Arabidopsis thaliana: one gene and its partner. The protein of the gene in region 2 interacts with the protein of the main gene of each other region in a pairwise test. Each region holds a gene or a part of one and is shown on either strand. Other genes may lie near its edges.

Region 1 (4,921 bases), on a different chromosome or scaffold from region 2:
CATCTGCCCCACTTTCAACAAAACTAATGATCTAATAAAAAAAAATCATTGGGAGGGTTTTTATTAAGAGTAGATCAGAACCTGTCGAGATATCACAATAACATCACTCAAATGTTGTCAGTGGATTGACAGACTGTGAATTCTTTATCGTCACTTCGACCACACACCAAAAAATAGAACAAAAGAAAAGCTTAGAACTCTAAGGTTATGTTTGCCGTCAACGATGAATAACTTCATCTCTGGCACACGGTAGTTACATCACAGCAACTACTCAAGATTTTCGAACATAAGAATTCAAAACCACAAAAGAATATGATTAAACTATGAAACAGAGATTATAGGGAGACATATCGGACCACAGAGAGACGAAGGAAACACTTATCTGTTTCAAGCGGCGATGAAAAGACTATTTATATGCAACGACGGGCTTGATAAAACCCTAATTTGTTCCTTTTTTTTTGCAATAAAAATTGGTTAACCGAAGAAAGAACACTAAACCATAAAAATTAGTCACTTATTTCATAAAATGCCAAAACTATTTATTGCCAGAAATATGCAAGTTGGGGAAATTGTTAATTTAGAAATTCTCAATAAATCCTGAGAAATAATGTTTACACCATAATGTAATTATTTTCAATAAACCAAAATATTAAAATTTTATTGTCATTGATATCTCATAACTCTATTATGCTAAAAAGAAGAAAAGATAGAACTGTGACATACTTTAGGTGAGTAAGAGAAGCAAGACATGGTTAGACTAGAAACTGTCGAGAAGAAGTAGAACAAAAAAGAGGAACTTAGACCGATCCTAAACCGATTAACAAAAACCAACAAGTATCAAAGGAAAATACTACTAACGGAGCTATCATCATGGACACGCCAAATGGTCTCACCCAGAAGATTAGCCACCGATAATATCGTTAACTGCGGGAAGTAATTCTTCTCCGCTACTGGTAAAGTATTCGTCACTATCACTTCTTGCAGCAAACCGCTTGATAACCGCTCTATCGCAGGAGGACTGTGACATTGATTCATTCAAGAAAACGGTCTCTTAGTTTCATAAACGAAAATGGAGAAGAACTGGTAAAACTCAAGCTAATGGGTTTACCTGAAAACAGCGTGTGTACAGCAAGCGTAAACCTCACGTGCACCCTCCTCGTGTAAAAGAGCTGCTCCTTTCACAATGGTTCCTGTAAATAAGAAGATAAAAAACTGGTTCTTAGTAATGTATGGCCTGCAAATCACAGAATAATCTCTATTTAGTAATATCTCGATTATGGCCTAGAGTTTGGAAGCTTTTGTTTATAACAAACATATCAACGGAAAGAGGAGTTTCTGGCAATTTTTACTAACCAGCTGTATCAATAATATCATCCACCATTACTGCCACCTTCCCTTTAACATCACCGATTAGGTTCATGACCTGTGGGAAAGAGTATTATCAACACATGAGAACTTGCGTGTAGAAAGGATAAAATGAAGGTAAATTTAAATTTTTACCTCAGCGACATTGTGGCCGTGACGCCTTTTATCGACAATGGCAAGTGGTGCATCAGATAATTTCTTAGCAAATGCACGTGCCCTGGCTACTCCACCAACATCAGGAGAAACCACTACCAAATCCTCAGAGGAAATTGACTTGCTAGCAAGATAATCAAGTATCACAGGCTGAAATGTAATCACAATTGTGTAAGATTTTAAAGGTTGCATAAAAAGTAGAGGCTTGTCTATCAAAAAGGTTGAAACTTAAGATACCTGGCAATAGACATGATCCACTGGTATGTCAAAATAACCCATGGATTGTCCTGAATGAAGATCACAAGCCAGAACCCTATCTGCACCGGCTTCTGTTATAAGGTTTGCTACCAATTTGGCAGCAATAGATTCACGCCCTTGTGTCTGAAAACATCAATAGATACATCAGATGAAATTACTTGACATACTGTATCTACCATTGAAGAAGACAAAAAGAACCTACCTTTCTATCAGCTCTTGCGTATCCAAAATACGGAATCACAGCTGTGACTTTCTTAGCTGATGCTCTTCGGCAAGCATCCACCATGATCAATAGCTCCATGAGATTCTCATTAGTTGGAGTGCAAGTAGGCTGCACCAAAAAGACATCGCAACCTCTAACACTTTCTTTGAGCTGAACATAGATCTCTCCATCAGCAAATCTCTTTATGCTAACCTTCCCAAGCTCCAGACCCATATACCAAGCAATTTCCTTCACAAAATTCCAAGAGTTTAGCATATACTTCACCAGAAGAAAACTTGATTAAAAAAGACAACCAAAGGTCTCGAGAAAACTACCTGAGATAAAGCTGGATTAGCAGTACCAGAGAACAACTTGAGCTTAGTATTGTTTCTACTAACCGATTTCTCCAACCGTGAAGAATCAAAGAACTTAGGAATTGTCGTCTCATTAATAATTGGAACACGAGCGTTCCCGTTTAGTGCCTTAGGCAAATTGCATTTCTATCAAACACAATGACAAGGAATTGTGAAACCAAATTCAAAATGTTAGACACAAAATTTAACCAACACACGATCTCTCTTACATCTCTCTACAAACATAAGAATAACCAAACATTCATGAACAGTATTCAACACACAAGATTCCAAAGCTGAAAGTTCCAAATTCCAAATTCTACAGTCACATACATGGACAAAGTCAAGCCAAGAGCGACGACAACACACAAATTCTCACAAAATTAGCCTGTAAACGAACTGCTAATAGCATCTACTAAATCCAGAAAAATCTCACAGATCATCAAAGCATAGATTCATCCAAAAACAATTTGAATTTTCTTATAACAAATACATGAAACGCAATGTGAATATCGAATTCATTCATTAACATGAAGGAAAAAAAATGCTCAATGCTCACCGCGTAACCAGAAACGCAGATTCGAGAGCGAGACTCAGTGGTCCTGAAAGAAATCGAGGAACGGGAGAAGAGAGACGAAGACGACGAGGAGAGATACGAAGGAATCTTAACGGAGGGAGGAGAAGTCAGAGCCAACGACGCCATATGTAAATATATACGTCGGAAACACCTGGAATCTCTTGAGTCACGGCAAATATCAGACTCCTCTCAACGTTAAGAATTCCGATAGAGAAGAGAACTAATCGAAGGATATTAGGATTTAGGGTTCCAAATTTGGAGTGAGAAACGAAGGAGAAGGAGGAGAAGAAGAAGGTAATGGTGAATATGTTTGTTGTTGTTTCTTTCTTCTCCGGGAAGAAGAGTGACTCAAGCGGTGCGGCGATGGGTCTTCTCTCTTTCTCGAAATTTGGAATTTTCAATTGTAATTTTGTTACACTAAAAACATACAAAAATAAATATTGTTTAGAAACGGTGTCGTTTGGTTGATGGCTAAAATCGTCTCTGCTCGTAGCTTTCACAGCTTACGTGTCATGTAGGACTTAACATTGAAGGAGTCGAAAAGAGAAATTGTTTTCAAACACAAATTCTAAAGAATCTCATACTGATTCCTAATGCCCACTTGTTTCTAAGCATTTTTCATGCCACTTTAGGATTCCAATAACTAATTATGAACATAAATTTTCTAAAAAAAGAATATATTTTCAGCAAAAAAACTTTTTTTAAAAAAAAAACCATTTGTATTTTGGGTTCTTTCGGCTATACAAATAGATTGGGTCACATCATTAATATTGGCCATTGCAACAATTGAAAAGTGCAAATTTTGGAAAGAACAAGTCAAAAACTCAAAAGGTGAAGATGTGATTCTTCTCCTACATAAAAAAGGTTACAACTTACAAAAGACCTCTTCAAGGTACTTACAAAACATCATAGAGATTGCCTTAATACTTGTTTTGAGTTTAAAGAGATCCAAATTGAAAACATATGCAGCCATAAGGATTTGTTGCCATTTGTGTGAAACTGAAAAGGCAAACGGGTTATAATAATAAGAAGCCACAATGTCATATTTAACACATTAAAGATATAAGGAGATGTGATTAGCCATTGCCACGACCTCTTGCGTATCCGAGTCCATTAGACCATTTGCAATATCATTTTGCTCTAAATGATTACACGTGGTCAATTCATATTTCCATCTACCTAAATCCAAGCTCATAACGGATTACACTAAACAAAAAGACCAAAATGTCTCTAAGTTCATTGACCATTTTAGAACGTCATTCTTCGCTTGTCGAAGAATATGCAGTGAGAAGCAGAGCTAAATAAGATAAAAACTCAAAAGGGTTATAAGACATAAGAATACACAACGTCAAAAGAATAAAAACTTGAGCAACATAAGTTTCTAGGGAAAACTAGTTTCTTTAAGAAGAGAAAACACAAGTCTATAAGATTGGATCAAACACAGACCAACTTGACTAATGAAGAAGACTGAACTAAACTTCAGTCGAATGCAATCTGACATGTAGGTGAACGCCTGAACAACAATGACAACTCCTTGAGCATCTCAAATTTCTTGTTGATGTCAGTGGATTTAGAGGAGATAGTCACCTTCTTTAAACAGCTTCCACTTCTTAAGATGAATGCCGCTACTTCTTTCTCTTCTTCTGTTCCTTCATATTTTACCCATTCGAGAGTTTCAAGACTTGTCAACAGACATTCAGGAACTGCACTCGGTTCATTCCAGCACGGCCGCGGTTGATGAGATCGATAGACATGGTTCTAAGATAAAAGTAAGATATCATCACACTGTTATTCTACTGAAAATATATGCTGATATATCATAGAGACTGAATAATTCAGGTTTAGATCTGCAGACCTTAACAAGTTTGAGTTCTCGTAATTTAGGGGAATCTCTGAGTACACACATAAGTAGATTTAGCCACTCTGTCTCACATGTGCATATCGTTAAACGTACAAGACAGTGGAAGACACTACCAACAGGATAAGCATCCTGCATAAGAGACACTACATAAG
Region 2 (3,912 bases):
TGTAGCTTTTAGTTTATTTGATGAACTATTGCAACTTTCGGTATATTTAACATATACGATCGTATCTCTTGGTATAACTTTTCATAATATTGTTTAATTTTTAACCATTAAAACAAATATTGAGATACATTTTGCAACTGTTTCATTAAACTATTGCAATATTTAGTTTACCTGACGAACCATTGTAATTTTCGGTTTATTTTTTGAACTGTTGTAATATTTTTGATATAATAATAGTAATCCGAATAAATGTCTTTTGCAATTGTGTCTTTATAACATAATTTACATAATTTTGTTATTGCTTTCTTAATTTTATTCAGTAATATGCATTTATACGAATTGCAATTTTCTAAGAAAATATAACCGTAAAATATATGTTTTTAGTTTAAAACAGAAAAAATTATTTTAACGAAAAGTTGCAATAACAAAAAAAAACACAATTGTTTACAACTGCAATATTTATTAAGATTGTTATTATTATATAGATTTATATTCTTATCAAAAATAAAATAAAATATGTTAAATTCTAAAGTAAGAACGAGAAAATATTCATCATGTAAAGGGTGTACGTAAACTCGTAAAGATATATACCCTAGAAAACCTTATTCACACCATAATATGAGTAATAGTCAAATATGGTTCTCAATGAGAAACATTGAAAACAAAACAACATAATCATACAAATATAGAACGCAGAAGAGAGCTATTTTGGTTGCTCGTACGAATCAGAGCGTATACCAAACAAGCTAGTACAAAAATACACTTGCCCTTTCTGGTGCGTTCTGTTTTTTACGTTGGAGTAACCATTTAAAGCCTTTTAATACCTCGGACCTCGGACCAGCTTCCTCTCATAGGAATCACTCCGGAAACTACTAACCGAAGTAGACCGTTCGGGTTTGTTGGGGATTGTTGTCGATAGCCACTCAAGTCCTTCGTATAATCCTTGCCCAGAGATAGCTGAGGTTCCTTGTATAAGCCTGCACCAATCACAATCACAAAAATTGTTTTTGTTTATCCCTCTACCTCTAAATATATATATAACCAACACGAGAGGAAGTTTTTAGTATTATTACCAACAACGTTTGGATAGGCTGTGTAGACCAAGTTTGTTGGCAACCTCGGCTACAGGTAAAGCATTTCTCGAATCTTGCTTGTTCGCAAAGACAAGTACACATGCACCTTCTAGTTCATTCTGTGGATTTTTTTTACCAATAAAGAAAGTTGTTAGGGTTAAAAAAAAGAAAAGAGGAGACAATAAGTAACATTTTAAAGTTTCATATGAATTTTACATCGGTTAGTATGCGATGCAGCTCGTTTCGAGCTTCTGATAACCTTTCACTATCGCTGCTGTCCACTACAAAGATGAGCCCCTGCGCGTTCTGGAAATAGTGTCTCCACAATTTGCGAATCTGTTGAACCGGACAGGTCAAGCCTGGAGAGGCAAAGGAAGAGAAATATGTGTTTATATGCACTTATAGAGAAGTAAAATGGAGTTTACCTTCTCTTGTCCTCCTATATCCCATACAGTGAAATTGATGCCTTTGTATTCTACTGTCTCGAGGTTGAAACCTGGAAAATCGCAAAACAACCAAAAACCAAAAAAGGTTAATCATCAATATGAGATTTATCAAGCTATTAAGAATATTCTTCCTCACCAATGCAAACACAATCAAAGGTAAATAAAAATGTAACTATGATCTAGTATCTACACATGAGCTATGATCCACAATAAAGATACACAAAAGTATATATGGTTGGAGCAGTTCTAACTAGCCAAACAAAGTTTCCTTCATAATCCTCAATAAATAGATATATAGAGTGAATCAACATCTTGCTCTAACTTCAGAATCAATAGATAGAAGTCTCAACAGAACCAAAAAAACAAGAGAAGAAAAGTCCATGTCACATACCAATAGTAGGCACTGTTGTGACAACTTCTCCAAGCTTCAACTTGTAAAGGATGGTAGTCTTCCCTGAACCATCAAGACCAACCATCAAAATCCTTACTTTACTTTTAGGAAGAAACCTTTTCGCTATACGTGAAAATCTGGCTCCCATGTAGAACAAAAAACAAAAACAAGGATCTTAGATACAGTGAAAGAAACACAGCTTCTGATATTTCAATTCAAGCTTGGACTTATATGAGATCTATGAAGAGTATTTTACACACATGAGAGAAAAGAAAAAATAACTGAAAGTTTGATTTGCAGATTGTAAAGGCAAGCAAAAAGGCAAAGTCCCATTAGAAGAAAGGCTGGAAAAGAATAAATTCCCTAAGGAAGAGAGGTAATGTTGTGTCCTTTTCCAAACTCGAAAGCTCATTAGGACACAGAGCAGGACTGGTCAGATTCTGTGTTCTGTCTTTCTCATTCTAGAAGCATATATCAGAATCTTATTCCTTGAGTACATCACCAGCGATATGGAATATTATTAGAGGTGCATAGGAAAGACACGAAACTGGAATTGCATAAAGATGGTAAATGGAACAAAATATCAAACCGGATTTTTGATAAGCAATAATAAAACAGAGCATAAGTCTTATTAGAAACAATTAAGTAAGGGAAGATGATCAATTAAAAAAATATTAACTTCTTATTTTCATTAGAAATAAATCATTAGAATAAAAAAACCAATACATATGATTTCATTAGAAACTGATATGCAAAAAACTTGAGTATATAAATTTTTAATCTAAATTTTGTATGATAATTTTTAAAATTCAAAATTGAAATTTTAGTAAAACTTTAATGAAATAAGAAATTAATATTTTTAATTAATAATATAAATAACTATTAATTAAAAAAATAACTTCTTAAAAAAAATTACACTCTTAATTTAGTTTTGAAATTGAAAAACAAACTATTATAAGAATTAATGCATTCAATATATATACAAAATATATTTATATTGGATATAGATTTTATTATTATTATACAACACAATATATATTTTTTTAATATTAAAAGTAAATTGAAATATTATTTTTGAATATTTTTGTTGGTCAACGTCGGAATCAGTCCAGCGGTTAACCTGAGATTCTCCATTTATAATGTTGATCATATAACATCGTATACTTCGTATATATTGTCATTCAATCCATATACTTCAGTTAGCTGAATATCCTAGTATACTTGGCATTGATGGCCATGTGGTTTGCTAAACTTCAGGTAGTTGACAATTTTTTTTCAAATTAATATCAACAAATCATTCATTTAGTTAATTTATTTCATATCCAAAAAATGTTGAGATTTCTCTTTTTTTTTTTTTGTTAAAGAAAATGTTGAGATTTCTCCTATGAATATATACGGAAAGCTTAAGTTTATTCACATAATGTCAGAATTAACTGGAAATCGTTTTACTTGAAGTGACTAAAATTATTTGAGAGTTTTTAAGTTCAACTGTTTTACATTTATTTACTTGTTTTATCATCTTTACGATATATATTTATAAGAAAAAATCAGGTAGAGGTGTGCTAGTGTATATGAAAACCAGAAGTGGCTTAAGAAAAATAAAACCAATACATAAGATAAAACTTTCAAAGTAATTAACATCGGTTTGAAAAAAAAAAAAAAAAAAAAAGACGAGAGCAACAAACAAAATAAAGTTTCCTTTTATCCCACATTCAAAGCTTTATTTAGATGAAAGGAAGTCATAAGAAAAATGAAATATTAATTAAGAACACAAAGATCAAAGATTCTTAGATTGATTTCATATAAGAGAAAAGGAGAGTTGCTAGGAATCTAAACTTAAATGAATCTAAACTTGCTATTAAATCCTAAGATACATGGGTTTGTAGGCTTTGAGAGTATATTTAGTAACTTCAGGCTTATCATGCGACAATATCTGCGCTTCTTAGATATGCTCTAACAAAAGATACCATGATACTTTTATCCCGAAACAAAAAGAAAAAAA

What was found. The genes of interacting proteins can lie anywhere in the genome.
Region 1: the proteins of ARFB1A (region 2) and PRS2 interact in a two-hybrid assay, tested with the Arabidopsis thaliana proteins (one large-scale study listed by BioGRID).

What each region holds. Positions count from the first base shown.
Region 1 is NC_003070.9:11,680,146-11,685,066, reverse strand, and holds PRS2 (phosphoribosyl pyrophosphate (PRPP) synthase 2), read right to left. Parts: upstream 3,334-4,921; 5' UTR 3,035-3,333; coding exon 2,891-3,034; exon of another isoform or gene 2,479-2,890; coding exon 2,314-2,478; intron 2,228-2,313; coding exon 1,979-2,227; intron 1,900-1,978; coding exon 1,756-1,899; intron 1,669-1,755; coding exon 1,501-1,668; intron 1,424-1,500; coding exon 1,354-1,423; intron 1,191-1,353; coding exon 1,109-1,190; intron 1,019-1,108; coding exon 838-1,018; 3' UTR 547-837; downstream 1-546. Other genes in the region: AT1G32375 (F-box/RNI-like/FBD-like domains-containing protein), read right to left, coding at 4,388-4,666, 4,764-4,898.
Region 2 is NC_003071.7:6,652,093-6,656,004, reverse strand, and holds ARFB1A (ADP-ribosylation factor B1A), read right to left. Parts: upstream 2,343-3,912; 5' UTR 2,059-2,342; coding exon 1,911-2,058; intron 1,570-1,910; coding exon 1,499-1,569; intron 1,410-1,498; coding exon 1,290-1,409; intron 1,193-1,289; coding exon 1,074-1,192; intron 978-1,073; coding exon 818-977; 3' UTR 504-817; downstream 1-503. UniProt on the Arabidopsis thaliana protein: GTP-binding protein involved in protein trafficking; may modulate vesicle budding and uncoating within the Golgi apparatus.